3 linked regions of the Drosophila melanogaster genome follow. The protein of the gene in region 1 interacts with the protein of each later gene in a biochemical or structural test. Each region holds a gene or a part of one and is shown in the gene's direction. Other genes may lie near its edges.

Region 1 (10,276 bases):
ACGGATTCACTCCGCGTGGAGCTGCAGCAGTATGGCATGGAGGTGGTCAACTTCATACCAGGCTCCTTCGTCCTGGACAGCAACATTGCGGCCAGACAGCAGCAGCATGCTCAGAAGATGCGCGAAGCCTTCAGTGCGGAGCAACACGCTCTGTACGACACTTACTTCGAGGCCTTCAATGGTTATCTGAAAGTACTGAGCGGCTTCAAGCCGCCCAATCGCCTGAGGAACGAGTCGCTGCTGGCAAAGTTTAAGGATGCATTGACCAGCTCACAACCCTTGGCTCTGTACATCGAGGAACCCCGTAGATATCGCCTCTATCGCTGGCTCTTTACGCTCTGCCCCACTCCGCTAGTGGATTGGCTCACGGTGCGTTTCTGCGCGATGCCCACCTACGAGTCAACGAACAGGCAGGAGAAGATTTAGATTAATCCGTAGTCTATACATTTTAAATATACATTGTAGCACATTGGAATACTTGGCTAAGGGCTGTGGCAAATAAAACGAGCTGAATCCAGGGAATGGAAAACGCCAAAATGTGATCACAGAACGCAACTGGGTGGTGGTGTCTAGAAGACATAGCCGCGACAGCGCTCGAACACCGCATCGTTGAGCAGCTGGAACCACTCGCTGGCATAGGTGGAGTCCTCCGCTGCCCGGAACAGCTGAAGCTTTTCCTGCGCGGGCAGCGCGGAGCAGAGATAAAAGCTGATGGCAGTTTCCGTCAGGTCGGCATGGTAGTTCTTCAGCGCCCACTCGAGCAGGCGCAGGCAGTTGTGTGAGTCCAGGTACTGGATGAGTCTTTGCTGCAATACCGCCTCCATATCGGGCATGATGTACACGCGGGCCATCTCGTAGGCCTGCAGCAGGGCGGGGTAATCCGGCTCGGTTAGATGCCGCTCCTGGCACACGATTAAATGCAGAAAGTAGCGCAGTCCACTGGCAGTGTAATCTGGCAGCTGAATCTCGCCTTGGTGACCCTCGCGGAAATCACTGTTGAGCATCTTGTTGAACACTTCGCTGGTGTCGCAGAGCAGCTGCTTATTAAACCCAATGGAGGTGGAATCCGCTCCATGACCAACGAGGAATCGCATGTCGCAGTTGGCGTGCAGCGGTGCGGTATCATTTGCAATTTGGTTGCAGATTCCTGCTGTACTCTCCGCTGGTTCGGCTTCTGGCATAACGATGCCCAGGGTATATCGCGCCATCGATGTCACCGCATCCGCCGCCTCATCTGCGTAGTGGTCCTCGGTCTTCTTGCGCAGCATCATGTCGAATAGCATATTCAGCGCATTGCCGTCGTACAGGAACTGATAGAGCAATCGATGGCTTTTAACTATGTAGGCCACCGAAATGGCGGCTCTCTGTTGGGATATCACATCGTCGCAGCGCAGGAGACGCACTAGCTCCTCCTTGCCATAATTCGATTCTCCCACATTGGTTAACGTCTCCAAGAAGGCGAAGCCGTCTTTGCGAATCTGAAATATACGTGCGGTGTTAACTGTGATGAACATTAGATGAATGGGCTCACTTTACCTCCTTCAGCTTGGTAAACTGGTACAGTTGATGGACCACGCCATGCTTTATTATCTGGGCAAAGAACTGGCTCTCACTGAAAGGATATACGTGCAATTAGAATACATGCTTATCCTTAGTTCAGCTTGACAACTTACAGTAGAATATTTGTCAGGGCATTTGGGAAATTATTGTTCGATCCAAACAATTTGATGGCTCTAATCAGAGTGTCGAGCGTCTCTGGCTTTCCCAGCTCCACTCGCTTGTTCACCATCAGCGTGATGCGATAGATAAGGTTTTCTATTATGTCAATGGTGTTGCATGTTGTATTGCGGAACGGGGCTAGTTTCGGTGGTACATCCGAGCTCAGTTCCTCGAGATCCTCTTTGTCGGACAGCGGATCATCTATGGGTTCGCTGCCCTCCTCAATTAGTTTCAGTATATCCAGAACATTCGAAGGCTGCGAACGATTGGCGGCTATGCGCCGCTCTCTTGTGTCCAAATTGCTATTATTTGTGCTGTCATCCTCATCTTCGTCGTCATCACTGCACGCCGGAGAATAGTTGTCGTCGTCATCATTCGTCAGCAGATCTGTGCACACCGGTGACATGCTGCGCGAACTGCAGGGACTGGTTGTGCGATAAGACCTAGGTGAACTGCTCGGCGATTCAAAGTCCGATCCTAAGGTCTCGTGGGTTTTTGAGAACTTGTGTGCAAAAAGTGGGTATAATTAGCAAGTGGCTTGTAAACATATGCTAGCTGCTATGCTGCTAAATAAATACCTTGCTCAGCGTCTCTGGCGTTGTGGGATCCGTCAGTTTTCTTTTTTTACCACCTTGCAGTCTCTCGTCTCGTCGACGTTTGTGATGCTCATCATCGCTGGTCAGGTAATCGTTTAGTTCCCGCACCAACATGGGCATTAGTCCTTCATACAGCATGAGTTCCATGCTTAAGTTATCATATTGGAAGTTGTAAAGTATGTGAAATAGCTGTTGGGTATGAAGAAAGCCATTATATATAGCAGATGTCAAGAGGGATTTGGTTTCCATCTCACCGATGATCGCTCGCTCTGCGAGTTGGAGTCCCGGATCATGGCCACCAGCTTGCGCAGTGCCCCACATCTCCGGATCTTCGAGCGGCTGCAGGCATCGGTGGATAGCGTCAAGATTATGTTGATGCAGTGCCGGCTCTCGCTTTCGCTAAGTGGCTTTGCCATGTTCACAGCCATGAGCATCTCGCAGGCAGCCACAATGGCATCCGCAGTGCTCAGCATGTAGAAGGCGAAGGGATCCTTGCAGAAGTTAGAGAGGATTTTAAGGGCAGAGGCCCGTTGGTCGCCGTCCTCCTTTACGAAGCACACAATGGAGGCGAGCGAGGTATTCCAGGAAATGGACTAACAAGAAATGTTTATTATGTACTACGTTTTGGAGAACTTAGAAAACAGTCTCACCTCCCAAACTTTCAGTCCAATTTGCTGCGCGGATATCAGGACCAGACACTTCAGAATCTCGAGGGCCAGCTCAACGGCCGCTTCATTTTCCTTGGGCAGCGCATAGTCACAGTTCCTTGTGGAATTCTTGAGCATCTGGTGGTCAAAGATGTCACTGCGAACACCCTCCAAATTCCGGGCTACCTCCTCGAAATACTTCTCACGGTGCTGGTTCCTCTTCAGGCCAATCAGCGTGGACATCTCGATGTCCGGAACGGGCTCCTTGGATGCCTCTTCGTTCTTCATCACGGCCAGAAAAATTCGCATCAGCTGCTGGAACCCATTGGCCATGAGGAAGTACTTCAGGAACTGGCTGCTGGCCAGAAGGAAACGGCAGACGCGGAATGCCATGATGCGGGTCTGCACCGCACTGGTGGACTCAATGATGTGGCAGATGGCCGGTGCAATGGCCGCATAGTGCACTGTGAGACACTGGGACGCCTTCTTGCTCTTGGCGATGTTTCCAAGCATCCGGCAGGCGCGGCACTGGATCAGGGGATTAGGTATGGTCTTCAGAATGGTCACCAGCGGGTGAATCACCTTGCATTCAACAGCCTTAAAGTGGAAAGTTTTAAATTTTTTTAACCGTTGTGGTTCAAAATAAAGATAAAAATGTAATCTGATAATCCCACCTCAATGCAGGACTGTTCGTCGGTGCAGCAGTTCCCCAGTATGCTCAGTACCACCTCCATTATCTTTTCATTCAGCTTGGTGATCAGTCGCACCTGGAAGACGCAATTAATAATGATTTAAAAATCGATTCGAATAACGATCCTATGTGAGCGGCAGTGGCTGTCAAACCACCATGAGCGTTGTGACTCCCAAACCCACCATGATGTGAACGCCCCCAGCAGTGCGAAATAAAACAATGCCATTTTTATCCTTCACCAGATCGGTGCGCAGCTTCACCAGGCATTTGTAAATGACTGTTCGATCCGTGGAGGTCTTTAGCACTTCCAGCATGCTCTCCACTTGCTCTGGTGTCCAGAACATTGGTAATTTTCTTAATTTTTAAACAAATTGAAACAATTCAACAAATTCTACAGTGCGTCTCAAACCTCTTTGAGAGTGTGACCGTGCATAAGAGCGTATTTTACGGTATTTTACGTTATTTTTCGAAAATCCAGCAGCGGTCTGCCTTATTTATAAACTGATGTTTACGTTTTAGCTTTGGATGCGAATTCGATTCTACAATAATAAATGGAAGCAGGCCTGTTTTTTATGTAGATTATACAAGTTCCCACAAAATTACCTCCAAGCTTTTAATTTCAAATTATTTTAATATTTTTTAAAACCCATTTAATAATTTTTCCTATATTTATTTACTTTCTTTGTTTACCGTAATCGTGACACGAGGGCTGAAGTGTCATCACCAAATCAGGCGCTATTTGGTGTTTTTCAACTGCCAACAACGGTCTTACAGAATTAAAGACAAAAACGCAATCGACTAAAGTAATTAGTTAATAACTAGCTGTCTTTGTTGCGCGTAAACACGGACTTTCCCCAGAACGAAGCTAATTTGCCCAAGTCGTGCATCCAAGCTTTTCACAGATTTGGAAAAACCTGTTTCGCAGTGCTTGTGACTCATCAGTTTTCGCAGGCTCAAGGAGAGAACTTAGCCATGGACGCCACTAACAATGGAGAATCCGCCGACCAGGTGGGCATCAGGGTGGGCAATCCGGAGCAGCCCAACGATCACACAGATGCCCTGGGCTCCGTGGGATCCGGAGGAGCGGGTAGCAGCGGCCTGGTCGCAGGATCCTCGCATCCTTACGGCAGCGGAGCCATTGGGCAGCTGGCCAACGGGTACAGCTCACCCTCGTCCAGCTACCGTAAGAATGTAGCCAAAATGGTCACCGACCGCCATGCAGCCGAGTACAACATGCGCCACAAGAACCGCGGAATGGCACTGATCTTCAACCATGAGCACTTCGAGGTGCCCACCTTGAAGTCTCGCGCGGGAACCAATGTGGACTGCGAGAATCTGACTCGGGTGCTCAAGCAGCTGGACTTCGAAGTGACCGTGTACAAGGACTGCCGCTACAAGGACATTTTGAGGACAATCGAGTATGCAGCGTCGCAGAATCACAGCGATAGTGATTGCATCCTGGTCGCCATCCTGTCGCACGGCGAGATGGGCTACATCTACGCCAAGGACACACAGTACAAGCTGGATAACATCTGGAGCTTCTTCACGGCCAATCACTGCCCCTCGCTAGCCGGCAAACCCAAGTTGTTCTTCATACAGGCCTGCCAGGGCGACAGATTGGATGGCGGAGTGACCATGCAGCGTTCTCAGACGGAAACCGATGGCGACTCCTCGATGAGCTACAAGATTCCAGTGCACGCCGACTTTCTGATCGCCTACTCGACGGTTCCTGGATTCTATTCGTGGCGCAACACCACCCGCGGCAGCTGGTTCATGCAGAGCCTGTGCGCCGAACTGGCGGCCAATGGCAAGCGGCTGGACATCCTGACCCTGCTCACATTCGTGTGCCAGCGGGTGGCCGTGGACTTTGAGTCCTGCACCCCGGACACTCCGGAGATGCACCAGCAGAAGCAGATACCCTGCATAACCACCATGCTGACGCGCATTCTGCGTTTCAGCGACAAGCAGTTGGCACCAGCCGGACGGGTTTGATGGCTAATGGTATGGATCAAACGGTGGGTACGGCGAGGTGTGTGATAAACCAAGTCGCAATTAAGTTAGAACCTCATGGGCTATCGGCCTTGCAGCATATTTTTTATACAACACTTTTTTAACCTGCCCAATTGCTCGACGAGATTGGTGCCACTGCCCGTTTTATTTTATTTAGGCACAAAGTATCTTTCGATTGACATTTATTAATGTCGCATTTACTCGTCTGTATTTATATTTTTTGGGGTGGGTAGAGTAGATCGATTTAACTTAGAAATCTAAGAGGTTTTTACTCCGGCCAAAATTTTTTGACAATTTTAACTTGCCAACTGAACAAAGACGATCTCAAAATTTTAAATTCTCTACTAAACCTTATCATAGAACAACTTGCGCCTCTTTGATTCTCGATCAGGAATGTCGGCCCACCCTTATCTATATCTACCTTAGACCATTTACAGACAAGACCTTTTTACAATTTTATACACATAGATATCTTTATAGTATAAGCCTGTGTGTCATGGTCGTCCAAAACGAAAACAAACGATTTTAGCCTGTAGTCGAGTGTTTTATGAACAATATATACTATTTCTATGCCATTTGTACTCTTATATAATGCACATTAGCAAATGTTCTCCTTTCAAGTTAACCGCTAATAAATCCGATTGAAAACAATGAGAAATCAATGACCATTGGCTGTTTGCTGTTGACCCTGTCGCCTCTTTTGGGCGCCAAGTTGAGCGGCATTTCCCGAAAAGGTAGCACGCGGAGACGGAAAAATAGACGAGTCCAGCCATTGGCTGACCCTGATCGTACGATTTCAGAGCTTACAATCACTTTATTCTTAGAGCTGGACACAACGAGAATAAATTCCAATTTATAGTTCACTTAAAGCACACGGGTATGGGTTGAATTCAGAGAAATTTAAAGCCTGTCAGCAAATCCGACTCTCCGGCTAGATAAATGCACGTTTCTGATAACTTTCGACTAATTAAAAACGTAGAATATGCGCTCACAATTTTCTAGTTGAGGAACATCTAGATGTGGCCGCCCTCCTTTAGCTTGGCCACCAGGGCATCCACGTCGGCGACGGTGGCGCCGGCCTGGCGCACAGGAGGATCCTCCACGGAGATGACCTCGATGCGGGGCGAGGTGTCCACGCCGAGATCCTTGGCCGTAACCTTCTTCAGCGGCTTCTTCTTGGCCTTCATGATGTTCGGCAACGTGGCGTAGCGAGGGGTGTTCAGCCGGAGATCGGCGCTCAGCACAGCCGGGGTCTTGGTCTTGATTGTCTCCAGGCCACCATCAATTTCACGCGTGATGGTCAGACCGGCGTCTGTCTTCTCGATCTTGTTGCAGAAGGTGCCCTGCGGCCAGTCGAGCACGGCGGCGGTCATCTGGGCCGTTTGGTTGGCATCATCGTCGATGGCCTGCTTGCCAAGGATGACCAGGTCGGCTTTTTCGTCAAGAGCCAACTTGGCCAGAATCTTCGACACGTGGATGGGCTGCAGAAGCTCGTACTCGGCGGCCGGGATCTCTACGTGGACGCCGCGATCGGCGCCCATGGCCAGGGCGGTGCGGATCACCTCCTGCGACTGGGCCGGGCCCACGGAGACGGCGATCACCTCCTCGGCCAGCTTTTTCTCCTTCAGCTTCACCGCCTCCTCCACGGCGATCTCGTCGAAGGGATTCATCGAGTGCTTCACGCCCTGGGTGACCACGCCAGTCTTGTCGGGCTTGACGCGCACCTGGACATGATAAATGTAACCTGAATTAGTTTAATTGCCGCTTAATTAAGGCGATTACGCAAAACAGAGCGCAACAAGTGATAAAAAGACAATGGGACAAGATGCGCAACAGGCGACTTTTCAGGCTCACCTTGACGGCGTAGTCGATCACACGCTTAACTCCAACCAAAACACGCGCCATTTTCTGCCAAATTAGTTATAAAATTGATGAAATTTACGGAAATTTACTGAGTTTCAAGAACTTACCTCTTCAAGATGGAAATGAACTGATTTGTTGGCGGCGGGGGCGCGGGTGGTCCAAAGGTCTTCTCCGGCTACAGCGTTGCCAGACAGAGCAGCCGATTATTTGCAGCTATAAAATGTCCAAATATTCCCGCTGAAATACATTTTTAAATTCATGTATCTTAAAGGACTAACAACTTTAAGCAAAACTAGGAAACATAATTTCTGAAACTGTGGAGTTGATGAATTACGAATTCAACTATTTACGGGGGAGTAGCTAAACTTTGTGCTTTTCGCTCCTCTCTAGCCGCCAACAGCTGTTCTACTTTCACCGCAATCACTTCTCTGCAGCGACGAAAACATCTCATTCCAATCTTGAAAAGATCTCCCGCATCCTTGTCCCATACAAATAAAATAACGATGGCTGCAACTGCTCCGGTAATTATGCGCGTCATGGCGTCCTCGATCAGCACCGCCAAGCGGGCTGGCGGCATCATACGCGACGTGCTCAAGAAGGGTGACCTGGGCATAGTGGACAAGGGCAAGAACGATCCGCAGACGGAGGCAGATCGCTCTGCCCAGCGTTGCATTATCGCCTCCTTGGCCAAAAAGTTCCCCACCGTCAAGATCATTGGCGAGGAGGGTGGATCCGATCTGAATGTCTGCGACGACTGGCTGGTGAACGAGTTGGATGAGGAATTCCTGCAGCACAGTTGCCCCGCTGAGTGGAAGGATGTCAAGCCCGAGGACTTTGTCATATGGGTAGATCCCCTAGACGGCACAGCGGAGTATACACAGGGTGCGATCTGGAGATACCTGTAGAGCTCCTTATATAAAACTAAATGTTCTCCTTTCATCCGCAGGACACGTTGAACACGTGACCGTCCTGATCGGCATAGCCGTGAAGGATGCTGCTGTGGGCGGCATCATTCATCAGCCATTCTACCAACAGCCCGATGGCGAAATGGGTCGCACCATTTGGGGCCTGAAGGGTCTGGGCACGGGAGGATTCACGGCAGTCCCCGCGCCAGCCGGCCAGTTCATCATAACCACCACTCGCTCGCATTCCAATGCCCTGCATCAGCAAGCCCTCAACGCATTCGCATCCACAGAAGTTCTGAAAGTCGGAGGCGCTGGGTTCAAAGTGCTCCAGCTGCTGGAGGGAAAGGCCCACGCGTACGTCTTCGCCACGCCGGGCTGCAAGAAGTGGGACACCTGCGCACCCGAGGCCGTTCTAGAGGCCCAGGGCGGCTGCCTCACCAACATCAACGGCGAGCACTACGCCTACAATGCGGATGTGGAGCACGTGAATCGACAGGGAGTGCTGGCCAGCCTGGGACAGGACCATGCCGCGCTGGTGGAAAAGATTCCCGCCGAGGTGCGGGCAGCAGTGGGAGCCAAGTGAGATAGCTTTGAATTCCAGCACTTTATTAGTTTATTTGCACTAAAAGTAAACACACATAAATTAAGCAATAACAGGTTAGAAATTTGAAAATTGTTAAAACTGGGCTCAGAATGCATTCTTTATTTATCGAAACTGCCGCTGTTGTTGCTCTGTGTGCTGCTGTTGGCCACCGAGTTGTTCAGGTAGCGATTCCGCTTGGCCTTGGTCATTTTGCAGGAGTTTACGGAGGCCGCGAAGCGCAGCGACTTGACGGACTCTTGGAAACAGTCTTGGAACGGCGAGACGTTGATGAACATAAGCGTTTTCGAGTTGCCGCCCAGCGAGGGCATCAGCAGGTGCGTCAGCTTGGAGTTCCTGTACGGGATGTGGTCCTGCTTCTGCAGCAGCGCCAGGATTACGTTGGTGAGCTCCGATAGCGAGCGATTGATGTTCTTTGTCTCGGTCATCCGGGTGCTCGTCTTGGGAGACTCAGAGCCGGCCAAATCCACCAGGTTTATGGAACCCACGGAGATCTCTTGCTTTTCGGCATGGCGTCCGATGAGCTCAAGCTTGGTAACCGCGTGGGAACGAGAGGAGCGCTCGTTGCCAGCTGTCGAGGCGGTGGCACGGTTCATCTTGGCCGTGTGCATGAGGTGGCGCAGGTGATTTGGATCCAGAACCGTCTCCTCCGTTATGTTGGACACGTAGATGTCGTTCTTGTTGTTCTTGGCCATTCGAATCTCCATGTCCTTCTGCTCGTTGCTCAGCAGATCGTAGAGCACCTCGTTGTAGATCTCCAGAAAGGTGGCCTTGATCTCGTACTCCCAGCCCAAGTTGCGATATCCCCGGATGGAGTCGAAGAGCAGATCCACCGTGCGCGGTATGACGCCCACACTCTCCGGCACTCCGTCCATTGTGTAGGTCTTGCCACTGCCCGTCTGTCCGTAGGCAAAGATGCAGATATTGTAGCCATCCAGGGCCGACTGGATGAGCGGCGAGACCATCTCGAAGATGTCCGACTGCGAGGAGAGCGGGTGGAAGACCTGGTCGAATGAGAAGATCTGCTGGCCCATCTTGCTTTTGGCCTGTGCGTCAATGCTCTGCAGCTCCACGGTGGACTCGTCGTGATAGGTCCAGGTGCAACACATACGGTTCTCCTCGGACTCCAGCGGCGGTCGTATTCGACAGAAGACCCGGATGTTGCCGCGCAGGTCCATGACCGTGTTGTGCAGCTCTTTGCGCTCCATGTTCGACTGGAAGAGCTGCTCTTTGCAGGTCTCCAG
Region 2 (10,897 bases), about 26 Mb from region 1:
AAGATGAACCCTCTACCTTTGGTAGGTTCATGATCGCCGAAATGTGAGACTCCAAAATCAGCGGCTTATTGTTGTAGCGCTTATCCAACAACTCCAGGGCAGCCGGGTAATTTGCATTAGTAACCTCTAAAGCACCAACGGCAGCCAAAGCGGGACCTCTTAGGCAAGACTTGGGGTGTCATGTCAGCCAATATTAGGTTTTTATCGATGACAGTAGAAAACATCGACATAAAACCTGTGTATTCAGTATAATTTCCACTAAAGGTTGGTAGCTTCAGGTTAGGCACATTCGGTCGTCGAAATAGAGAACTAGAAGGCCACTCAGTTCCTGGATATTGACGCATAGTTGAACAAGCAATCTCTCGCACTTTGCGTCTACTGAGGTCCGTTTTTATCATATACCACATTTCATAGAAATGTCTTTGAACTGGTCACGCACTTCGCTTCCCATTTGATTGAGGTCCAGTTTGGACCTCATTACAAATAGCAATGATGTATGTTTATGCACAAAGTCGGTTCTTTTTTGCACAGCCAAAACGACATGAATTTGGCGGTCGGCAAAGAAGAAACTGCTGCTACGCGTGAATGCTTAGCTGCGTAAGCAAAGAAACAGAAAACGAAACGAGAGCAAGCGAATGCTTGCGATAAACGAAAAGAAGATAGGGCGAAAAGTACAGCCACTTATGTACACACAAAAGTGCACCAAAATTTTTGTTTTTGAGTTCACGATAAAGAAATGTTACCGATCACGTCGGGGTCACCAAATATTGTGGCAGTCCCCGTACCGAACCGATTAAGAGTTAATGTGCATCACAGCAGTACCGGTAAGATCAACACTTAATTTGTGACTGACTTTGCTATGGAGAAGGCAAATGAGCAAGTTGTACAAAACAGTTGCACATAAACAGTTGTGCTCGCTCACTATTAAGAGAGAGGAACATAGCACAAAGGGGAATGCAAAATCTGTTGGTGCACAGAGCAATGTATAAAAGTGATATAATAAAATAACTTATGATTCGCTGCTGCTGGCTGCAGGCTGCATAACCAAACAAAAGACATTAAGGAAATATTAAATCACTAACAAAAGCCTTTAATTATTGCAGATCTAATTGATATCTCCGTATTCATAATTGTACATAACGAACTCTTAATTATTTATATCAAGTACCCTGTAATAACAAAAAGATGTGAAATTTATTTTGCCAGATCCATTCACTAATAACTAATCAGATCGCCAAATGGGAAAATACTTTTTATGAAATATCTAATTTTAAGAACAAACTTTCTAATAACTATGGTATTTTAAGTAAAGATAAAACTTGTTTTACCCGCTTACTAAATGGAGAGAATTAAATTTGCACCAAGATACGAGAAAAAATAAGAATATAGATATCATTCAAGAAGGTGCCATTCTAATAATAGGAAATAATATTGTAAGCAATTCTCATTTAGACGGGTCATATTTAATAACCTTCAACAGCACAACTACAATAAATAATATTTGATACACCAATTTAGAAAACAAATTACTTGAGTACATAACCACTAACCACTTTAAGAATCTGGACTTATCAGATTACATAAAATCCAACAATTCAGAACTTACTCTTGACAACATTAATATTTTAAACAATTACAATTAGAAAATATCAATATCATTTTTATTATTAATTTTAATCATTTTGTATTTGAATGCTACATTAAAAATAAAATTCAAATACGTATATTAATTTGTAACCAAACAAAAATGACAAGAAGCTTTTATCCTAAACACTAAACATTAAAAAAAAAGACGAACTGCAGTAGAAAGATCATATTATTAATATGACCACACCGTCCAACTGAAGAAAGCTGAACGATATCATTTACAGAGCCGCTCAACTGAATGGGTTTGACTACTTGTTTAGGTTTGAACGTTGTAACTTAGTTATATGCAAAGACACTAGAATAACAAGATGCGTAACGGCCATACATTGGTTTGGCACTATGCAGCCACTTTTTAAGTGACGGCCAAAATTACTCTCTTTCCGCTCACTCCCGCTAAGACCGTAAGAAATCTAAAAATATAATTTGCTTGCTTGTGTGAGTAAAAACAAGAGACGAGAACGCGTATAAGTGTGCGTGTTGTGCTAGAAGACGATTTTCGGGCCGAAATCAATTCTGATCGAAGAAACGAATTTACATGGTACATATTAGGGTAGTTTTTGCCAATTTCCTAGCAATATGATAAAATAAATAAATAAATAAATCCGCGGCCCATTTTAGAAAAAGATGATAAAGATGATTTAAATTTTAGAATACAAAAAGATTTAACTCTTTACAATCACGCGGTCAAAAAAAGTGAAGTCAAAAGTGTAAAACATATTCAGTTGAGCCAAAAAATTAAGATTTTTTGTTATGTTTTTGAAAAAAGGATATAAAAACAAATTTAAGAGATCAGAAACTTTGCTATTTAACAAATAACTGATCTATTCATACATACAAATTTATTTAAGTCGGATTGCATATAACAAAGACCCTAGAATAACAAGATGAGTAACGCCATACGATTTTTTGGCACACGATATTTTCGCCGTGGCTCTAGAGGTGGCTCCAGGCTCTCTCGAATTTTTGTTAGAGAGCGAGAGAGCGGAGAGCGCTACAGCGAACCGCTCTTTTCTACGCATACAGTGATAGCAGACAACTTTATGTGTGCACACGTATGCTCATGCATTGTAAATTTGACAAAATATGCCCTTCACCGTAGAAGTTCTTAGACTTTAAATCTATATTATTTTTGATCAATTGGCACCATGCGAAAAATTCTTGTTTTGCATTGCCTTAACGTTATTATTATTTGAAAATAGATTAGAAATAGCCAAATCTATGTACATAATATCACAAAAATAAATTTCAAAAATGACTTTATATAAGAATATTTGTCATTAGAGTATTCATCTTGCGGCGTGTGAAAAATTAATAAGGCAATGATTGTTGAGTGCTTGTGTCCGCACTTCGTGCCTCAAGATATGAACAAAGCAAAGACACTAGAATAATTCTAGTGTCTTTGATGTGACTTTTGCAATAAACAGTTTTCATATTTTTATTTATTTTACAAATTTGTATTTTCTACTTCGTATTATTTTTATGAAATATTTATTTCTCGATGTAATGTATTCCTTTTGTTATAAGTAGTTATAATAATTTATATTTTACTTCCTTTAATTATTTAGCATACTTATTAAGTCATTTGACTTAATATGATTTATATATGATAATGATCCATTTTTATTATTTAAAATGCACATTAGATTCAGTTGTTTTTCAGTATGTTATTTAAATAACTGACGACTGAAAAATCGAGCAGTATATAATAAAAAACAATAGTTAGAAAAATAACTTAATTGGGGAATGTGGAAATGTTTTAATGTTAAACATTAAAATATTTCAAGTCGACTCGAAGGTCATATACGTAAATATAAGACCCCATTACAATTGTAATGGCCTCCCCGTGGTGTTCCCTGGGTACCGACTATTACACATATTACACATAAATAATTATCAACATAAATATAAATATGTAAACGGTAGCTAATTCGAGCGGCGATTTTAACAAACGAATTTAAAAAGCTTTAAAATTAAAAAATTTTAAAATTAAAATTAAAATTTTAAAATTATAATAAGAAGGGCGCGAATTTTTAAAAATTATTTTATTTCATCATATTGCTACGAAATTGGCAAAAAACTACCCTAATATGTACAATGTAAATTCATTTCTTTGATCAGAATTGATTTCGGCCCGAAAATCGTCTTCTAGCACAACACGCACACATATACGCGTTCTCGTCTCTTGTTTTTACTCACACAAGCAAGCAAATTCTATTTTTAGATTTCTTATGTTCTCAGCGTGAGCGAGCGGAAAGAGAGCAATTTTGGCCGTCACCAAAAAAGTGGCTGCATAGTGCCAAACCAATGTATGGCCGTTACGCATCTTGTTATTCTAGTGTCTTTGCCAAAACTAATGGTTGGGGGAGTGGCATATCCATAAGTCCATTAGACTTAAGCACATGCCTACACACAGCTTCTTATTATAGAAGAACAACACTAGTAAACCAAAAGCAATCCTGACTGGAATAAGCCCAAAGTCGTATACAGGATGATAATCGAAAACTTTATTTTAAGATTTCAATAAACAAAGTCGTGAGGATCTAAGAGCGTTTGTATCCAATAGCGAATGAACTCGAGTCCAAGAGAAATGCAAAGACAAATCAATGTTAGTAACTCCAAAGCTCTGTTTATTTCATTGGAACTCCAAAATCCAAAGCCCATATTTATAAAGCTCGAGGCCGAGGATTCAAAGTCAATCAATCCATATCAATTTGTTGAGTTCAGTTTCAGACCTTAATTAAAACGGTCGGTGTTATTATTCAGTAAGAACATAATTACCATTCCTTCTTAATCTTCCAAATGACCACCCTTTCTTGTTAAACTAGCTGGTGTATAATCGACACAGAATTTTAATGTTGCCGAATTCAATTACAAAGTTATATAGTTAACAGTCGTACGTCTTATAACAGAATACAGCTTAATTACGGAATGAGCTCCTGTACAAGGTCTTTAGAATCATTGGAAATCGTCTATAATAATATTTTTGTAGTCTTTAACATCGATATACAATTTTATTATTTAGGAAAATATCGCCAACATAATTCGATAAATAATAAATGTCTTGAAATTGACTTCCTTTAAAGTGTAATATGGATATTGAATTACCTTATCTTGCTGAGTATGCAAGAACTGGACGAGCCACTTGCAAAGGATGTAAAAGTACTATATCTAAAGATACTCTTCGGATTGCTGTCATGGTTCAAGTAAGTTACTATGTGGTACATACATACGTAAGTAGTCTGCAGATAAAAGATTGAAAATGAATTTGATTAAACTGATACTGATTTACGAAACTTTAAAAGATCCCGATTCGCCGTTAGTCCCATCGGTCGTCGACAGCTGCGGCATGTAATTGCCAGCGGTAAATCGTGTAGCGGTGGGGGCACAAATACTTGCGTCGCTCACCCACAGGGTGCCAGTGGCTTGCTGCAGTTCTCTGGCCCAGTGTGCGTGTGGCAATGCGTGCGGCCGAAGAAACGAAAACAGGTCCTCAAACATCACGTGAAATCGAAACTAGCGGGAACGACAGCGGGACTGACATTGGTACTGACAGTGGGACCGACATTGGGACCGACAGTGGGTCCGACATTGGGACCGACAGTGGGACCGACAGCGGGACTGACGGTGAGACCGACAGCGGGACTGACGGTGGGACCGACAGTGGGACTGACAGCGGGACCGACAGTGGGACCGACAGCGGGACTGACGTGGGACCGACAGTGGGATTAACAGTGGGACCGACAGCGGGACTGACAGTCGGACCAACAGTGGGACTGACAGTGGGACCGACAGCGGGACCGACAGTGGGACCGACCCTTCATTTCTTCTACCGTCACGCTTCAACCTATAAAAATGTTGCTTGTGAGTCGCTCACCCAAAGGGTTATTTCGCAGCAGGCGAAACACTCGGATATTTTTTATTGCCGAAAGTAGAGTGTCAAAAAACACCCGGGGGTATAGACACCCAGTTGGTGGGTGCGGGTGTACTAAGAGTGCCAGTGGCTTGCTGCAGTTCTGTGGTTGGGGCCGCAAAAATTGTAAGACCAGCTGAATTTTCGCCATGTCCTCACATGGTGATGATCGTTCTGAAACAAACTTTCACAGAGCGAAACATGAATACTAGCTTTTATAGTTTTCGAGATCATAGCTTTCATACAAAAGGACAAGGCCAATCAAGAATACCATGTCCGTCTGTCTGTCCGTATGAACGTCGAGATATCAGGAACTATAAAATCTAGAAGGTTGAGATTTAGCATACAGATTCTAGAGACATAGATGCAGCATGACCCATGTTGCCACGGCAACTCTAACGCCCACAAACCGCACAAAACTGCAACGCCAACCCTTTTGAAAAACGTGTTGATATTTTTTTTTTTCATTTTTATTAGTTCTGTAAATTTCTATCGACTTGCCACGCCCACTTTAAAGCCCTAAAATTGCACAAAACTGCCACGCACACACTTTTGAAAAATCGTTTTATTATTATTTTTTAATTGAAACGGTTACACCAAACGAACGAAAGACAAAGAAACTATTTTATTGTATTTCTTATTTTTTAGTCTGCATTTCATGATGCCAAAGTTCCGAATTGGTTTCATAAAACCTGCTTTTTTAAAAACCAGCGTCCCAGCTCAGTAGGAGACATACAAAACATTGGAAATCTCCGATTTGCCGATCAAAAGGAATTAACGGATCTTGTGGGTTAGTATTTAAAATTGATCTATATCAATTTAAAAACATTTTGAAATGTACTTAGAAAATATACAAGAAGTTATAAGCGCACAATTAGGAAAAAAGCGATCGAAGGCTTTTAACTTAGCATTAAAAGACTTTGGGATTGAATATGCAAAATCTAGTCGATCGACGTGTCGTGGATGTGAACAAAAAATAAACAAGGATCTAGTTCGCTTACGTAAAACTGTTTATGATACTGAAGTTGGTATGAAGTACGGAGGCCAACCTTTGTGGCATCATTTGGAATGCTTCGCCCAATTGCGCTCTGAGCTTGGCTGGTTTGCGTCAGGTGAAGATATGCCAGGATTTCAGAGCTTAGCAGATGATGATCAAGCGAAAGTTAAAAACGCCATACCGTAAGTTAATCTCACATTGAATTTCTATTAACTGTTCTGTAACTGTTCTGCATTGCTATTATTAAGTTATCCCTCTTAAAGAAAATAAGCTTGATTATACTGAAGATTGTAAACTGAAATAGATAACTGTAATTTGATCCACTAAGTATTCTGATCTCTTCTTGGTCATTCCTTAGTTGGGGATGCCCTTCAACTATATAGGTACAATAGTGTATATTCTTTGTTAAAAAATATTTATCAGGTAAAGGCAACATTTCCGGCACTAAAAAAATTAAATAATCGATCCCACCCTAAAAGATAAGACTCGAATTGTCCATGTCCGTATGAACGATGTGATTGTGGGAACTATAAAACTGGGTTGCGATTAAACATGCAGATCCGAGTGAAGCGGGCATATCAAAAGTTTTTTGACAATTGTAGATTGTAGAGGAAATCAACTATAACTTCGCCTGTAGTTTGTCGAAAAGTCAAGTGAATTTAACAATGTTATTTAATATATGTAAGTCGACCTTAATCGATGGGCATTGGTTGTATCGCCGCAGGAAAATAATGTAACTATTTTTCGCTATATTTAGGCTGGGTCGTGATTATTTGAGCGTAAATGTAACAGCTGAGTTAAAATTATACTGGAAAGGTACATACACTAGTGGGCATAAGTATTTAGACACCATTAGCTTGAAACTGCCGGGCTTTTCATAGTACAGTCAAATAAATAAGTAAACTATTGATGATAAAACAAAAAGTGCAATTACAGTTACACACGAAGGGTAAGTTTGGCTGTTTACCTTTTCAATTATCCTTGTGCTTATAAGAAAGCTAGACAGGCAACGATTTGGGCCGTGGCAAAAGTATTTAGACACATTTAATTAGTTCGCATTGATCTGTTGTTCGAAGAATATCAAATTTTCGACTTTTTTTTTAGATCATTTGAACATTTTTTCTTGATAACGTGGGACTGCCTACTTTTATTTCATTCATAAATTTGTTAAACATGGGGAAAACAAAGAAACTGAGCGAATTTATAAAAAATTGAATAATAATTAAGTATAACTCTGGTATTTCGGTACAAATTATCATTGATTTATACAAAATTCCACGGGCAACGGTGCATTACCAAATAAATAAATATAAAAAAACACACACAACCAAAAACGTTGCGCGTAGTGGCCGACCACGTAAAACAACTCAAAAGGGCGATGGTTATATTATACGGAAGTTTAAGCAGAATGTTCTACAAACTCCCCGATCGGTTGCCAAAGAACTAAAAGAAGGAACAGAAATCGATATCAGTGAAGGAACGTCTTAAGGAAGCCGATTTTGGAACATATGTTAGCAGAGTTATACCACAATAACTCTACAAATAAGTTAAAACGCCACGACTTTGCCAAAAAATATGTTGGACAGCCAGCATCATTCTGAAACAATGTTTTGTGGAGCGATGAAAGCTCTTTTGAGTTTCACTGATCAAAAAAATTTTTTTTTGTTAGATTACCGAAACATTATCGTAAAAAAGTGGCACCAGTGTGTCAGTGAATAAATCATTCAGGAAAAAATATATATAGATGTCCTTAATAATCATGCATTGCCCTAAATTGCTTGGAGAGTCCTTCATACTCCAGCAGGAGTATAAGGTCAGCATAAGGTCAAACTGATTACGCAGTTTCTGAAAGATGTTTGCGTAAACACATTGGATTAGCCACCTCAAAGCCCAGACCTCAACATAATAGAAAACCTCTGGTCATATATAAAACAAAAAAAGGCGTGCAAACTTATCTAAAAGTCGCGAAGAAACGATTTTGGAAATTCAAACCTTATGGAAGGATATTTCAATAGATTATATCCACAGCTTGGTACAGTCTGTACCAAAACGTATGCAACAGGTGATGTAAGGGAGGGTATATTTTTTATTAATTTGTCATAATTTTTTAGTTGACTTTTTTTTATTTGAATTAATAATATTTAAATAATTTGTCCAAATACTTATGCCACTGCTAATTTGTAAAAAAGTAATTTTTGTTAAAAAACAATGAGAACAATGAGAAATGGAGAACTTCTCCATTATTTTTTGTTACCTAATTTAACAACGATAGCCGACCTATTTACTAAAATGATTAAACAATAGAAAAGATAGAAAAAAATTGATGGACGGATTTACCAGGTAAACGACAGGGAACTGCAGCCACTAAGATTATACCCTAAAAGCACGACTTTAAAGCACTGCTACCGATTTATCCGGCTGTCCCATTCATTGATTTTATGATCGAGCATTAACACGTAAGCGAATTAGTTGACGTTTGTCGCTGCTTTCTCATTTGCTTGCGACCACCATTATACCGTTATCTTTACTGTTTTAACGTTATGACCGGTTCAGCAGTAGGGCTGTTGTCTGACAACGGGTAGATCCCAAAATATGGCGTCATTGTATGTCACGACCCACGAAGGCCATCGTTAGGGTCAAATTGACCAGGACCATACCATTTGGAGTTATATTTTGCGTTTATTAATGTAGCGAGGTAACACTGTTGCGCTTACAAACAAATATTTAATTGTAAACACAAATTTTGTTTTTCGGTTTCGGATACATTTAAAAAAAGTATAATTTTAATATAGGGCTTATATCTGTGTCAGCGGCGCAAGCAGTAAAAAACTGTGCATAAAAACTGTGCACTATGGGAAATTTAACTTGTTTTGTCGGTATATATTAATATCTCGTAAAATATTTAAGATTGTAAATCCAAATGTAGAATTAGAACGATTAGGACGACTTCTTCTGGCCTAGAGACTCAGATAGCGTGACAATAAAAGGATGTAACGGCGGATCGTCGAGTTCGGTATGAAAGCTTGTGCTCCTTATAAAATAAGTATTCAGAACAAACTGACTTAAAACGTAACATAAAGACGCTTCATAGCGGTCTCTGCCAATACGCTGAGCTTGCCGGCTATATAAAAGCTTCCTGTTAACATACTACAATAACTTGAATGCTCTTGAATGCGCCTTGACACTACAATTCCTCTTATAAATATACAATTAAAATTAGCATGATTATTAATTCTACAATTAATAGCCTGAAAATTAAGCCCTTTAATTCATATTTATTTTCTCTTCTTTCTTTTAATCCCTCCTTAATTTATTATTTTATTCGTTATGGTAAGCGGCAGACAATTTTACTGGATCCCAAACAATACTTGGAATCTTACTTAAATTACTCATCATTGAATACTATGATGAACTATTAATATTTTGTTGTCCTTGTGTAACCGGACGCATTAGTGACTGCTTCAAATGGTTACTTAACCCAAATATCCAAAATTTTCTTTGAATATAATCTGGTGTGATTATATCTGGTGTGAAACCAGATTAATTCCGCCGTGTAATGTTTCCCTATGTGCATTTTTGATTATTAACGATGTTAAATTACACGTATCTAGAATTTCGTATAAAATTTAGTTCTGTAGTTTTGTAATCTACCTTCCACTCTTTGCCCGTCTTTATCTAAAAATGGGTTCAATGCTAATGTTTTCCTTTTAGTATCAATATCTTTTTGGTGCTTTAAACATTGTATCTCTGAACTAAACTGAATTTCCGGCTGCTTGTTATAAATGCATTTGCTACCTTAAGTTCATTTGCTTTAAAATATGTGGGAAAAGATTTATTTTTTATTTTAATTTTATTATTTTTTTTAATAAATCTTAAGATATATGCAATAATTCTCTCCAACTTTCGAATATAGGAGCATTTTCCTAATAGTGATATTTTTAAATTGTTTTGGGCTTCTGTTAATGTAGTACTATCTAATTCAACCGCTTTGGCCAGTATTCTTGCGTCTTGAGGTCCCGTTAACTAAATTCTACATTCTAGTAATTTTTCTATTGTTACACCCCTAGTAGCTATGTGTGCAGGGTTAAAATTAAATAAATAAATAAGAAAAAAAATTGCATTTATTATTCCCATTTGTAAGTGTGATCGTTGGAACACTCCAGCTATAAGCCTTCGATTGACCTAATATTGCTGTCCTGAGGAGGGTAATAGATGTGCTGAAAGTGATGAAAGTTAATATTTAGTAATTTAGGGATGGATAGTTTTTTGATTTTTTTTCGGATTAACTTTTGCTAGTTATAATGCTTACTTTTTTCGGACGCATCAGAGAATCCATGAATTTG
Region 3 (10,849 bases), on another chromosome or scaffold:
TGTGTTTGTTCGATTCGTTGGATCTGCGTTTGGTTAATGCCAGCTAATTTGATCCTGAAACTCCAGCATATCCTTGCCATGCACCTGAAATTGCTTTGCATTTTGTTCGGTCCGAATTTGTTGTTTATTTATTTCACCTTAGACAAGCATATCGATATGGTTTACTAGCGTTTAATCGTACGTATATATAATTAGATTTACTTAATTTTAATTAATGTTTACGCGACAAGACAGAAACCTAAACACAAGAAACAAAAAAAAAAATTTAAAAATGAAAAAATTAAAAACAAAATCTAAATCAAAGAAAAAGGGGAAAACCAAAAGCTCAAACTGGACTGAACATTTAAGAGTTATATTATGTACATTATTGAATTGCATTTGATTGTGTGAAGATCGTTTTAGTGCTAGTAACTGCGCCTAAAACAAAAGGGTATTATATTTGTATTCGAATTTGTATGTAATTCTGATCGTATGTACGTTATGTTATCGTAAGTGTACCATCCTAGATCCTCTAATGAATTGAATTGAAATGAAGCCAACTCTGTCTCTTGTGATTCTATTGTGATGCTATGGGAGTCAAGCAGCACTCAACTGTTTTTATGCCTCTTAAAGTTTAAAACAAAGCTAATCGTAGCAAAACCTAAAACTAAACTACCTATCTCTACACTAGTCTATGCAATGCTAATTGGCAGCCCCAACAATTGAAAACAATCATGCACAATAAATGTTATGCAATTGAGAGAATCCAAAGGCCAAAGACCCACAACTTTTTCTTACACTACTCGAAGTAATTGTGTACAACTAAAGGAATTCTAGATTTTAAATGTGCTAAAACTGTTTATAGTCAAGTACTTAATTAAGAGTGTAATTATCAAATATTAATACGTACAAAGGTTGGGGCATTTGGCATAGTAATACTAATAATGTATAAACGTGGGATCCGATGATTTGATTGATGATAATGGAGCGGTGCAAATGCGTGTGACAATGTACGTATGTAACAAACAATTGAATTTAAATGTTTAATAAATGTGTGGAAATGAATAAATGCTCTGTGTGCTAAATTCCTCAATTACTCAATAACAGCCTCTACGTTAGCTTCTCGTCCAGGAATAGTGGATCCAAACTGCACTTTTGCCGCTGTTCCATGTAATCCAAAAACTGGTGGTCAAATAAACGCTGCCCCATGCTGCGTGCCACATCGTCGGATTCGTCGGTGTTTGCCTTCTCTATGAGCAGCTGTTGGCATTAGGATTTCCTTTTTTTTTAACTATTTTGGAAAGTTGATGCAGCCTTCTGCTCACCTCAATTTCCTTGGACAAAAATTCTTTGGTCGCATCGCTCATCTTCTTTTGCGGCTGGCCCATCAAAGCGTTTTCCAGAAACTTGTAGGCCTCACTGAAAGTACCACAATGCTAAATACAAATGTAGTTTATCAAAACCATTCCTACTTCAAGTCAATGCCGTTCAGTTCCGTTGGCGATGGCTTTGTCTCATTTTGGATTATGGAGTTCACAACGACGGCTGCTTCGAATTCGCAGAGTTCAGCGAGTTGCGAACTTTTCATGAGCTCCAGCCACTGGTTAATGTTGTTTAAGCTAACGGAGTCGCAGTTTTTCACCATTTCCTCGCCCTTGCCAATCATGTCGGCCACATACTCTAGAAAAGGGATTGGGGGACAATGTACTTTTATTGCATTATGCATGTTTTAAGAAAACTCACGGAGAATGCCATTCGAATTATTTTGATTTTGCTGCTTGGCTGCTTCGAGCAGGATTTGCTGTGAGTAGCCCAGTCTGTTTAGTTGCCTTTGCAGCTTAACTTTCACCTCTCTCGGAATCCTTGCAGGCTTTTCTGCGCCTTTTTGCGCGGAGTTTTTCGGTTCCGGCGTAAATTGTTGCTCCTCCTCCATTTCTTTTGTTTATGTTTACGGTTTGTTAGGCTGACCCCATATGGTATTTGGTATTTAGTATTAAATTGAATCATTTGATGCGGCAATGAAGGAATGGTGGAATAAGTGGAACATGGAGACGGTTCATGTCATGGATTTATCCCGGACGCGTTCTCTGGTTAAAATGGCGCACCCACAAGCAGCCACACCAATCCCAAAGTTTCATTTATTAGTTTAGTGGCGAGTTTGGCGGCGCGAAACGCTCGTTGGTCCTTTTGTTTCGAAAGAAATCCTATTCGAAGATCCCCGATCCTTGCTAGGATCATCTAGTGCAATATATAGACTAGTTAATTTACTTTTGGAAAAATAAGGACACCAGCAGGGCCGCCGATTTGTGCCCCTTTCTTGAAAGTCGCAAAACAAAAACAACGACGACAACAACAAAGCGGAGACAAAGAATCGACAAGTAGCGATAAACGAAATCATTCCCGGGAAAACCTTGGAGACGGGTGATTCACTGCCAATACCACTGCCAATTGGAGACTGATCACGGCAGCCATCCTTGGCGCGCCCAATAAGCGGAGTCACCGGAACGCGTGGAAGCCATATCCGGAATGCAGCCGCCGGAGCTCGAGATTGGAATGCCGAAGAGGCATCGCGAGCATATACGCAAGAATCTGAATATACTGGTTGAATGGACGAACTACGAGCGTCTGGCCATGGAGTGCGTGCAACAGGGCATCCTAACCGTTCAGATGCTAAGAAATACGCAGGATCTCAATGGCAAGCCATTCAACATGGACGAGAAGGATGTGCGTGTGGAGCAGCATCGTAGGCTCCTATTGAAGATCACCCAGCGTGGTCCCACCGCCTATAACCTGCTGATCAATGCACTGCGCAATATCAATTGTCTGGATGCGGCCGTTCTATTGGAATCCGTCGATGAGTCCGATTCAAGGCCACCCTTTATCTCGCTAAACGAACGGAGAACCAGCCGGAAGTCGGCCGATATTGTGGACACACCCTCACCCGAAGCCTCCGAAGGACCCTGCGTTAGCAAGGTAATGAAAATAAAATCATACGAAAGCTTTGATGGTGAAATTGCAGCTCAGGTCATTGACCCTGATTTCTACAAAAAACCGGTTTATGGCACAATTTATTTGCATTTTTTTTTTTAGGTTTGTTAATTGAGTTATTCCTATTGGAATGAGATTAGAAAAGGTATCTTTAAGAATTGTAAATGGACTCAATGATGAATACTACTTTGGTACATGTGCACAGTATTATTTGCTTCTCTTTCAGAAGTTAGTTCGTGTATGAGATTCTTGTTTTCCATTTTTTTTGGAAGCATGAATCACATCCATTCTACTTACCTATCCCAATTATTCTTTTAGTAGGATTTGTTTTTAACCAGAATCTTATCGCAATATTGCTGGCAGCTGTGTTTATATAGCACGAATGTTGATTACTTCTTTGTCTGCCACATTAACCGTGCAATGAAAATATAATATATATATTGAAAATCTTATCTTTATTGTAATTTGTTCTTTCTTTCTCTCTCCTACCAAAGCTCCGGAATGAGCCGCTGGGAGCACTCACCCCTTATGTGGGTGTCGTTGACGGTCCCGAGGTAAAAAAATCGAAAAAGATACATGGTGGGGATAGTGCCATATTGGGCACATATAAGATGCAATCACGTTTCAACCGAGGCGTTTTGCTAATGGTTAACATAATGGACTATCCGGATCAAAACCGTCGACGGATCGGAGCCGAAAAGGACAGCAAGTCGTTGATACACTTGTTTCAAGAACTGAATTTTACGATTTTCCCCTATGGGAACGTGAATCAGGATCAGTTCTTTAAACTTCTGACAATGGTGACCTCCTCGTCGTATGTGCAGAATACCGAGTGTTTCGTAATGGTACTGATGACACACGGCAACAGTGTGGAGGGAAAAGAGAAGGTGGAGTTTTGCGATGGATCTGTGGTCGATATGCAGAAGATCAAGGACCATTTCCAGACGGCCAAATGTCCTTATTTGGTGAACAAGCCGAAGGTGCTTATGTTTCCCTTTTGCCGCGGCGATGAATATGATTTGGGCCATCCAAAGAATCAAGGCAATCTCATGGAGCCAGTGTATACGGCGCAAGAGGAGAAGTGGCCTGACACCCAGACGGAGGGCATACCCAGCCCGAGCACCAATGTGCCAAGTCTTGCCGACACTCTGGTCTGCTATGCTAATACGCCGGGCTATGTTACCCACCGCGATCTCGACACGGGCAGCTGGTACATCCAGAAGTTTTGCCAAGTGATGGCCGATCATGCCCACGACACAGACCTTGAGGATATCCTAAAGAAGACGAGCGAAGCCGTGGGTAATAAGCGCACCAAGAAGGGTTCCATGCAGACAGGTGCCTATGATAATCTTGGCTTTAATAAGAAACTCTACTTCAATCCCGGGTTTTTCAACGAATAGTTGCCGCCACTGGACATTTTATCATTCCGGATGCATTTTTAACCGCATTTATGTTCTTATCGTCGCATTTAGTATGTCTTTTAGATTATGTGTTCTGTGCTCGCGTGCTATAAAATGTTTATATTGTAACAAATACTCATTCAAGTATTCTTCTAATACGTATTGCATACCTCATTTAAAGGTACGAAATTATGTAATTTATGTGATAACTGCCAGAAATCTACAAATATTATAATACAGAGTTCCAGTATATACACAGCCAGATTTTTGAAATCGAACATTTAGGCAAAATGTAAAGCAATTTTCCAGTCTGATTTTTGAGTGTGTACACTTACAAAATAAACGATGATATTTCACAACAAACCGCAGTTTGTATATAATTAAAATCTATTTACATTTCTAAAATTTCATTGGGACACTAATTATTATATAATATAATCTTAGGATCATACATTTTAACCTAATCATCCTGCTCATCCTCCTCCGCCAAGTGGGACAGTTGTAGTTTTCCCGCTGCACGGCTCTGTTCCGATTTGGTTTTGCATTTCTTTGGCTTATGCGGCTTTTGGCCAATTACATACTCAGGCATCACCAGCTTGGAACCTCTTAACTGCGGCTTATCCAGCTCCACATCATCCACCTCCTGCTGTTTGAGGCTCTTGAGCTTGCGGCTGAGTTTGCTGGTCCTCTTGAACTCGATCTTGCCATCTGTAGGTGGAGATTCGTTATCGACGCCCTCAGCCTCGCGCTGTGCATCCATTTGTCGCAGGAAGGACAAGGCGGCGGCGGAGTTGCTCTGTTCGGAAATGTCCACATCAGACAGGGAGTACTTCTTCCATTTGTGCGGGTTTACCTAGAGAGTAGGTCAAACGTTTAGGGTGGGGACAACTAATTGCAGAGGGATGGTCTGTCACCTGGTAATCTGGCGTTTTTCTTGGCTTCAAACAGCGTCCAATGGGGAGTTCGGGCTTCTTGAAAATGCTCTCCTTGCCGCGCATTCGTCGCAGTCTTCCATCCTCCGCATCGAGGCCAGTAACAATGCTGCGACCCTGGCGGTAGTTCATCACCTGTCCGGATTCGTTTCCGGATTTGTTTCCTCGATCGAGGGCATTGATGGAAAACGCCTTGGCCTTGCTCTGATCCAAGGCAGTTCCCCGCAACTCTTTGCTCGCATCGTCGAGACATGCGAAAAGAGCGTCTCGTTTGGCTGAAAATTCCTGCATTTTACTTAGTTAAACTGCACAAATGGCATTTGCTTAAATGCGTTGTGTTTGCAGAGGTAACTTTGTTTGCTGCAAATCAGCTGTTTTCACAGTTACCGTTTTGTATTTTCATCTAGTATTTTAGTAACGTGCAGTATTTTTAGACTATTAAGGCAGCTATTAAACCATTTCCTTTTCTATGGATTAGTCTATACTATGTGAGTTAACTGACATCATAGGGTTAAAATACTTTTTAAACGTAAATTAACAGATTTGAATTTATCCCATTCTATTTCAATATAGTAGCAGTATGATTGGTATTCTCTGCAAACTAAGATATCTTGGAATTTCGGCCCACGCAAACTCTGGTCAGACTGGTGCCGGTGTATAAACTTAGTGTGGAAGAAGTGTGCTCATTCGCGAATATAAATAAATTAAACAGCCAGGTGGATATTGAATAAAACTAACCCAAAGGCGTGACCATGTGTATAGTGTGCCTGTCTCAAAGGACGATTCATCGAACAGCTTCTATTGAAAGGCCTTTCAGACAGCTTAGTGGAACTTCTAACCCCATGTGGTTTTTGGTGGCAACTAAAGTCACTTGTGCCAGGGTCTTTTAAATAAATGTTAAAACTAGAAAAGCAGAAGTTTTAGATTGCCAGAAGAATATAAATATATTTGATTGCAATATTTTTATTTGTGCTTTTGTTAATTTTTGCAAATATCCCACTTATTACCACAAAAAGAGCACAAGAAATTGTATCCCTGGTTTCATTCAGTGTTGAATAACGGCCACACCCAGAGGACAGCTGTTCTTTATTGTGATAGCAATCCAAATAGGGAGAAAAAACATTTAATTCGCTGCTGGAAACTAAAATTAAACCCTTTGACAAGTAGTTTTAATTATTATTTTCAAATTTCATTTATAGTTTAATGCTTATAGTTTCCTGATTTCGTACTACCCCGTTAGAATGTCCCTGCAAACGGGCTTGGCTTTCATTTTCACCATATTAGCCTCTGTTAGTATCGTCGCAGCAATTATTTTGTTGGGTAAGCAGGCGCCCGCAGACGATCACGTTATAATGGAAACAATTTTCTACGATCCGAGCAACAAGTCATATTGAAATTTGTCTATTTTGCAGGCTGGTTCCTCATCTGGAAGGCGTTTCTATCGAAATTTCGTCTGGTTCGAGAGCTGTTGGGTCAGGAGGAGCCGGAGGATCAGCAACCACTTGCTTGGGATCATCAGAATCAACAGCCACACCACCACGGCAGAGCCAGGAAAGCTCGCCGAGACTAGGAAGCACATCTACACAGCCTCACCATGAACATCCGCTGCGCAAAACCGGAAGACCTAATGACCATGCAGCACTGCAATCTGCTGTGTCTACCCGAAAACTACCAGATGAAGTACTACTTTTACCACGGACTAACCTGGCCTCAGCTTAGCTACGTGGCCGTTGACGACAAGGGCGCCATTGTGGGCTATGTCCTGGCCAAGATGGAGGAGCCGGAGCCCAATGAGGAGAGCCGCCATGGGCACATCACCTCGCTAGCGGTCAAGCGTTCCTATCGGCGATTGGGCCTGGCCCAGAAGCTCATGAATCAGGCCTCCCAGGCCATGGTCGAGTGCTTCAATGCCCAGTACGTGTCCCTGCACGTGAGGAAGAGCAATCGGGCTGCCCTGAACCTCTACACCAACGCCCTCAAGTTCAAGATCATCGAGGTGGAGCCCAAGTACTATGCCGATGGCGAGGATGCATATGCCATGCGACGCGACCTCAGCGAGTTTGCCGATGAGGATCAGGCCAAGGCTGCGAAGCAGTCAGGCGAGGAGGAGGAGAAGGCGGTCCACAGATCCGGCGGACATGGCCACTCGCACAACCACAGCGGTCACGATGGCCATTGTTGCTGAACACTTTCGCTGCCGGCGCTTGCTGGCTTCGACGTTTTTTGCATTTTTGTGCATTAGGGTTTTGTAATTATTTAACAATAAAAAACGTAACTAAAATTAAAACAAAAGTAATGACAAAAAGATAATGTTTTTAACAATAAAGGGTTTGAAGGCCATTAAATCAGTAATAATAATACTATTTACGGTTTCTGTTTCTAATTGCCAATCTAAAATGCATAAATGCATTAAACACCTATTAAGACGAATTTTTTGATTTTATTTTGAGTAGAGTTTTAGAAGAGAGTGGTTTTCTAAACTCCCCAAATAATTTATAATATCTACCATTCTTTTGTGCTAGAGCTCTGGTTAACCCAAGTAATGCGAAAATTTATGCCAAATGTGGGTTAAAAAATGTGCGCTTTTTGTAATGTGAAAAGTTTGTTGGCCCGAAAAGTTGGCCAAGCGGAAAGATGTCTTTATGTGCGAAGTGTTGACTTTCGCGCCAACTTTTGGGTGCCATCAAGTTGTAGGTGTCGTGTTGGTGGAGAAACTTTTATGGCATATGAAAATAGCTAGCAACCGTTCCCACTAAACCGATTTTCCAGTAACGGAGCTTTCTAATTTCCCAGTTTCCCGCGGCGAGCTCCTTTTGCGCATGCTCAGTGGAACATCTGCGGCAACAGCTGTTCGCTAGCCACGTGGAGTACGGTACTTTTCCGGATGGCGCCAAAGAGAGAGAGCGAAAGTACCGCAATCACAGCTGAGCTGAGATGCTGGCTTTTCGCGTATTTCGCCGTTCTTAAACTCAGTTCGTGAGGCGCTGGCTGAGCAAAAACAACATGTATGCGGATGTTTTATCAGTTTTCGGCTAGCTACGTAAAACGTGCGCAAAACCCAAATCGGAACTTCAGCTATTGTAGTGAAAAGTGCTAATAAAACCCTAACGGTAAAACCACTCTTTACAACGGGAGAAGAGGAAGAACGAAGGAAGTAGTGCTACTGCTACTGATGGGTTATAAAAAACTAACGGGAAATGACTGGCATTTATTATGATTGTGGAAAAAACGCCCTGCCAAATCAATAAAAAACGCGGAAACAACAAACAATAAACAATTCGTTAGTGAAAAGCGCCGTTAAACATATGGAACTGTGAATGTGTTGAGGGAAAGTGCTTAAAGTTCCAACGGTAAACATACTTTATTGATGCGAAAGTTAAAGCCAATTGATAACCCCAATCGAATGAGAGCCTGATTTGTATTATATTTGCGGGCTATAACGCCTTGCTAAATCAATAAAAGCCAGGGCACTTCAGCAAACCCTTCATTCGGGCAATCCTCAGAACCCTCAAAACAGTCACGGACATAAATGTAAGCGCTTTTGGTGTTGAAAAGCCAAAAAGCCGGCCAGTGGTTCAAAAAGCCGGAGAATGGAAGCCAAGCCTCTGCTCTTCTCGTGTTGTTATTGTCGAAACGGGGTCAAAAGTTCGTGTCTCACTCGCTAATTCAACCACACAAAAAAGCGCACACACACTCGCACACTCGTACACCACCCAGATAACGGTTCCTCAAGTGCAAGCAAAGACACTGCGTCGCCCGTCTGGCAGAAAAGCATGAAAAAAGCATAAGAAAAGCATAGTAAAGCAGAAGAAAAGCAGACAAAAGCATTAGCCAAGTGCCAAGTAACTCAAAACTGCAGGCCTACCAAAGCCAGGGGAAAACCCACATACATACATACATAAATATGTATTTGGAAAACAACACCAAATCGCAGACAACAAACTAGGCCAAATTCCGCGGGGAAGCGGGAGAAAGCTCAATTGAAAAGTGCTCTGAAAATGAAGAGAAGTAAAATATAATAAAAATAAAACAATAGAAGTTCTCTGGCCATTTGTCAATGACTGGGCCACTCGCGTGACTGGCGATCCTCGGGGAAAGTGGAATAACTGCAGCTGCAACAGACTCCAGACTACGGCAAAAGGACTATTTCGAAAAATATTGTGGTAAGTCAACAGGATTTAGGCGGGCACTTTGCAGTAAAAGGTACCAGCTACATTACACCAATTATTGCAAAGTTTCCATCAAATTATATTGAAAAAAAATATATAACGTGTTAGGCTAGATAACATAAAGTTTAAATGAAAACAGATAGATAATGCGGTACTGTATCACATTTATCATATTCTATACATTTATGCAAGTAACTCACAAAAAATCCATTCGCAGTAATTTGCCAAGAATGCCAGAAGTAACGCCAACAATTTCTCGGGTTATTTAAATATGACTGTAATTTGAGCAAATGTCTCTTGAAAACTTATTTTCCCTTGATATGAAAATACACAGACTTCAGCGCACATGCTATCTGTACGAACTTTTCCTCACTTGTCAGCGGGAAGGCATATTTATTTATTTAAGTTTGCAGTGCCTTTTCCGCCTTCGCCGAAAACTTCAAAAGGCAACTCCACTATGTGTGGATGGTGTAATGACATTTTGTCAGCAGGATTATGCCAAATGCTGGCCTCCATCCCAACATCCCCTCATCGCCCTGCTGATGATGAGCCCCAAACATAACCATCGTCGTCGTCGTCATCATTGTCTTTGTCACTGTCAACGCGTCTTGCATCTGTCAGTGGCAGCAGAAGCATCCGATCCCCAAACGCCAGTCCCCCAATCTACCCCGCCCACCAAGAAAACCATCCAAAAACCCATCCCATTTCGAAATTCTTGTTCTTTCGTAGGGGTTCGCATCATTTTTAAGCAAACATTTGCCGTAGCTTCAGTTCTGGTCCTTCCTTCTCTTTGGCACTACTGGCTGTTTGTTCGTGTTGTTTCTGCTGCTCCCGTCAAGTGTTTACTACTTTTTGTGTGCTGTTCTGTGTGTTTTTGTTGCTGCCGACTGGCGGTACGTGTTGGCTCACAAGATGTCAACAACTTTGCTTGCCACTCGCTGAAAAACGCCAGCTTTCTTGCAGAGCAGCGCAGGGTACCGCATCTGCTTTTGTTTTTTTTAATGCTGCTTTTTCTAGCCACGTTGATGAAATTAGCAATTTGATTAATTTCCTCCTTTCTATTTTTTTTTCCTTTCCTTAATTTTTAGAACATGAATACAAATAAGAAAAGTATTGTCTTGAAGAAATTCCGATATACATAGGCAAATCAACATTCTCTAAAACATATAATCTTATTTATTTGTTCTATCCATAAGCTTGTTTCATAGCCAGACCACAATTTCAAAGAACTTTTGCATGATGCTTGTAGGATAGTTTAAGTAATAAGTTAATAAGACTTGAATGCCTATTGATCCGCTGTAGAGCAATGTATCTGTGTTTTGTTGCATAGGCGACAGGCGCAGCTGTCAAAATGCTTAGCAATGGCCACGTGGCATCCGTT

The links.
Region 2: of the proteins of Drice (region 1) and Parp1, one has a biochemical effect on the other in vitro, tested with the Drosophila melanogaster proteins (one study listed by BioGRID).
Region 3: of the proteins of Drice (region 1) and Dronc, one has a biochemical effect on the other in vitro, tested with the Drosophila melanogaster proteins (6 studies listed by BioGRID, with this or other methods).

Annotation. Positions count from the first base shown.
Region 1 is NT_033777.3:29,795,273-29,805,548, forward strand, and holds Drice (death related ICE-like caspase), read left to right. Parts: upstream 1-4,385; 5' UTR 4,386-4,625; coding exon 4,626-5,645; 3' UTR 5,646-6,312; downstream 6,313-10,276. Other genes in the region: sro (shroud), read left to right, coding at 1-426; Rnb (R and B), read right to left, coding at 570-1,478, 1,537-1,612, 1,674-2,221, 2,298-2,504, 2,570-2,908, 2,966-3,559, 3,637-3,729, 3,836-3,997; Etfb (electron transfer flavoprotein beta subunit), read right to left, coding at 6,677-7,387, 7,518-7,568; CG7789 (uncharacterized protein), read left to right, coding at 8,030-8,408, 8,473-9,014; ncd (non-claret disjunctional), read right to left, coding at 9,134-10,276.
Region 2 is NT_033777.3:3,580,819-3,591,715, reverse strand, and holds the start of Parp1 (Poly-(ADP-ribose) polymerase 1), read left to right. Parts: upstream 1-4,661; 5' UTR 4,662-4,736; coding exon 4,737-4,850; intron 4,851-6,205; coding exon 6,206-6,347; intron 6,348-6,402; coding exon 6,403-6,736; intron 6,737-10,897. UniProt on the Drosophila melanogaster protein: Poly-ADP-ribosyltransferase that mediates poly-ADP-ribosylation of proteins and plays a key role in DNA repair.
Region 3 is NT_037436.4:9,966,383-9,977,231, forward strand, and holds Dronc (death regulator Nedd2-like caspase), read left to right. Parts: upstream 1-2,096; 5' UTR 2,097-2,505; coding exon 2,506-2,952; intron 2,953-3,461; coding exon 3,462-4,367; 3' UTR 4,368-4,620; downstream 4,621-10,849. Other genes in the region: CG6685 (uncharacterized protein), read right to left, coding at 1,090-1,239, 1,305-1,398, 1,452-1,659, 1,723-1,912; CG6674 (uncharacterized protein), read right to left, coding at 4,828-5,220, 5,282-5,590; CG42455 (uncharacterized protein), read left to right, coding at 6,541-6,619, 6,712-6,869; vnc (variable nurse cells), read left to right, coding at 6,894-7,484. UniProt on the Drosophila melanogaster protein: Involved in the activation cascade of caspases responsible for apoptosis execution. Effector of steroid-mediated apoptosis during insect metamorphosis. Overexpression promotes programmed cell death.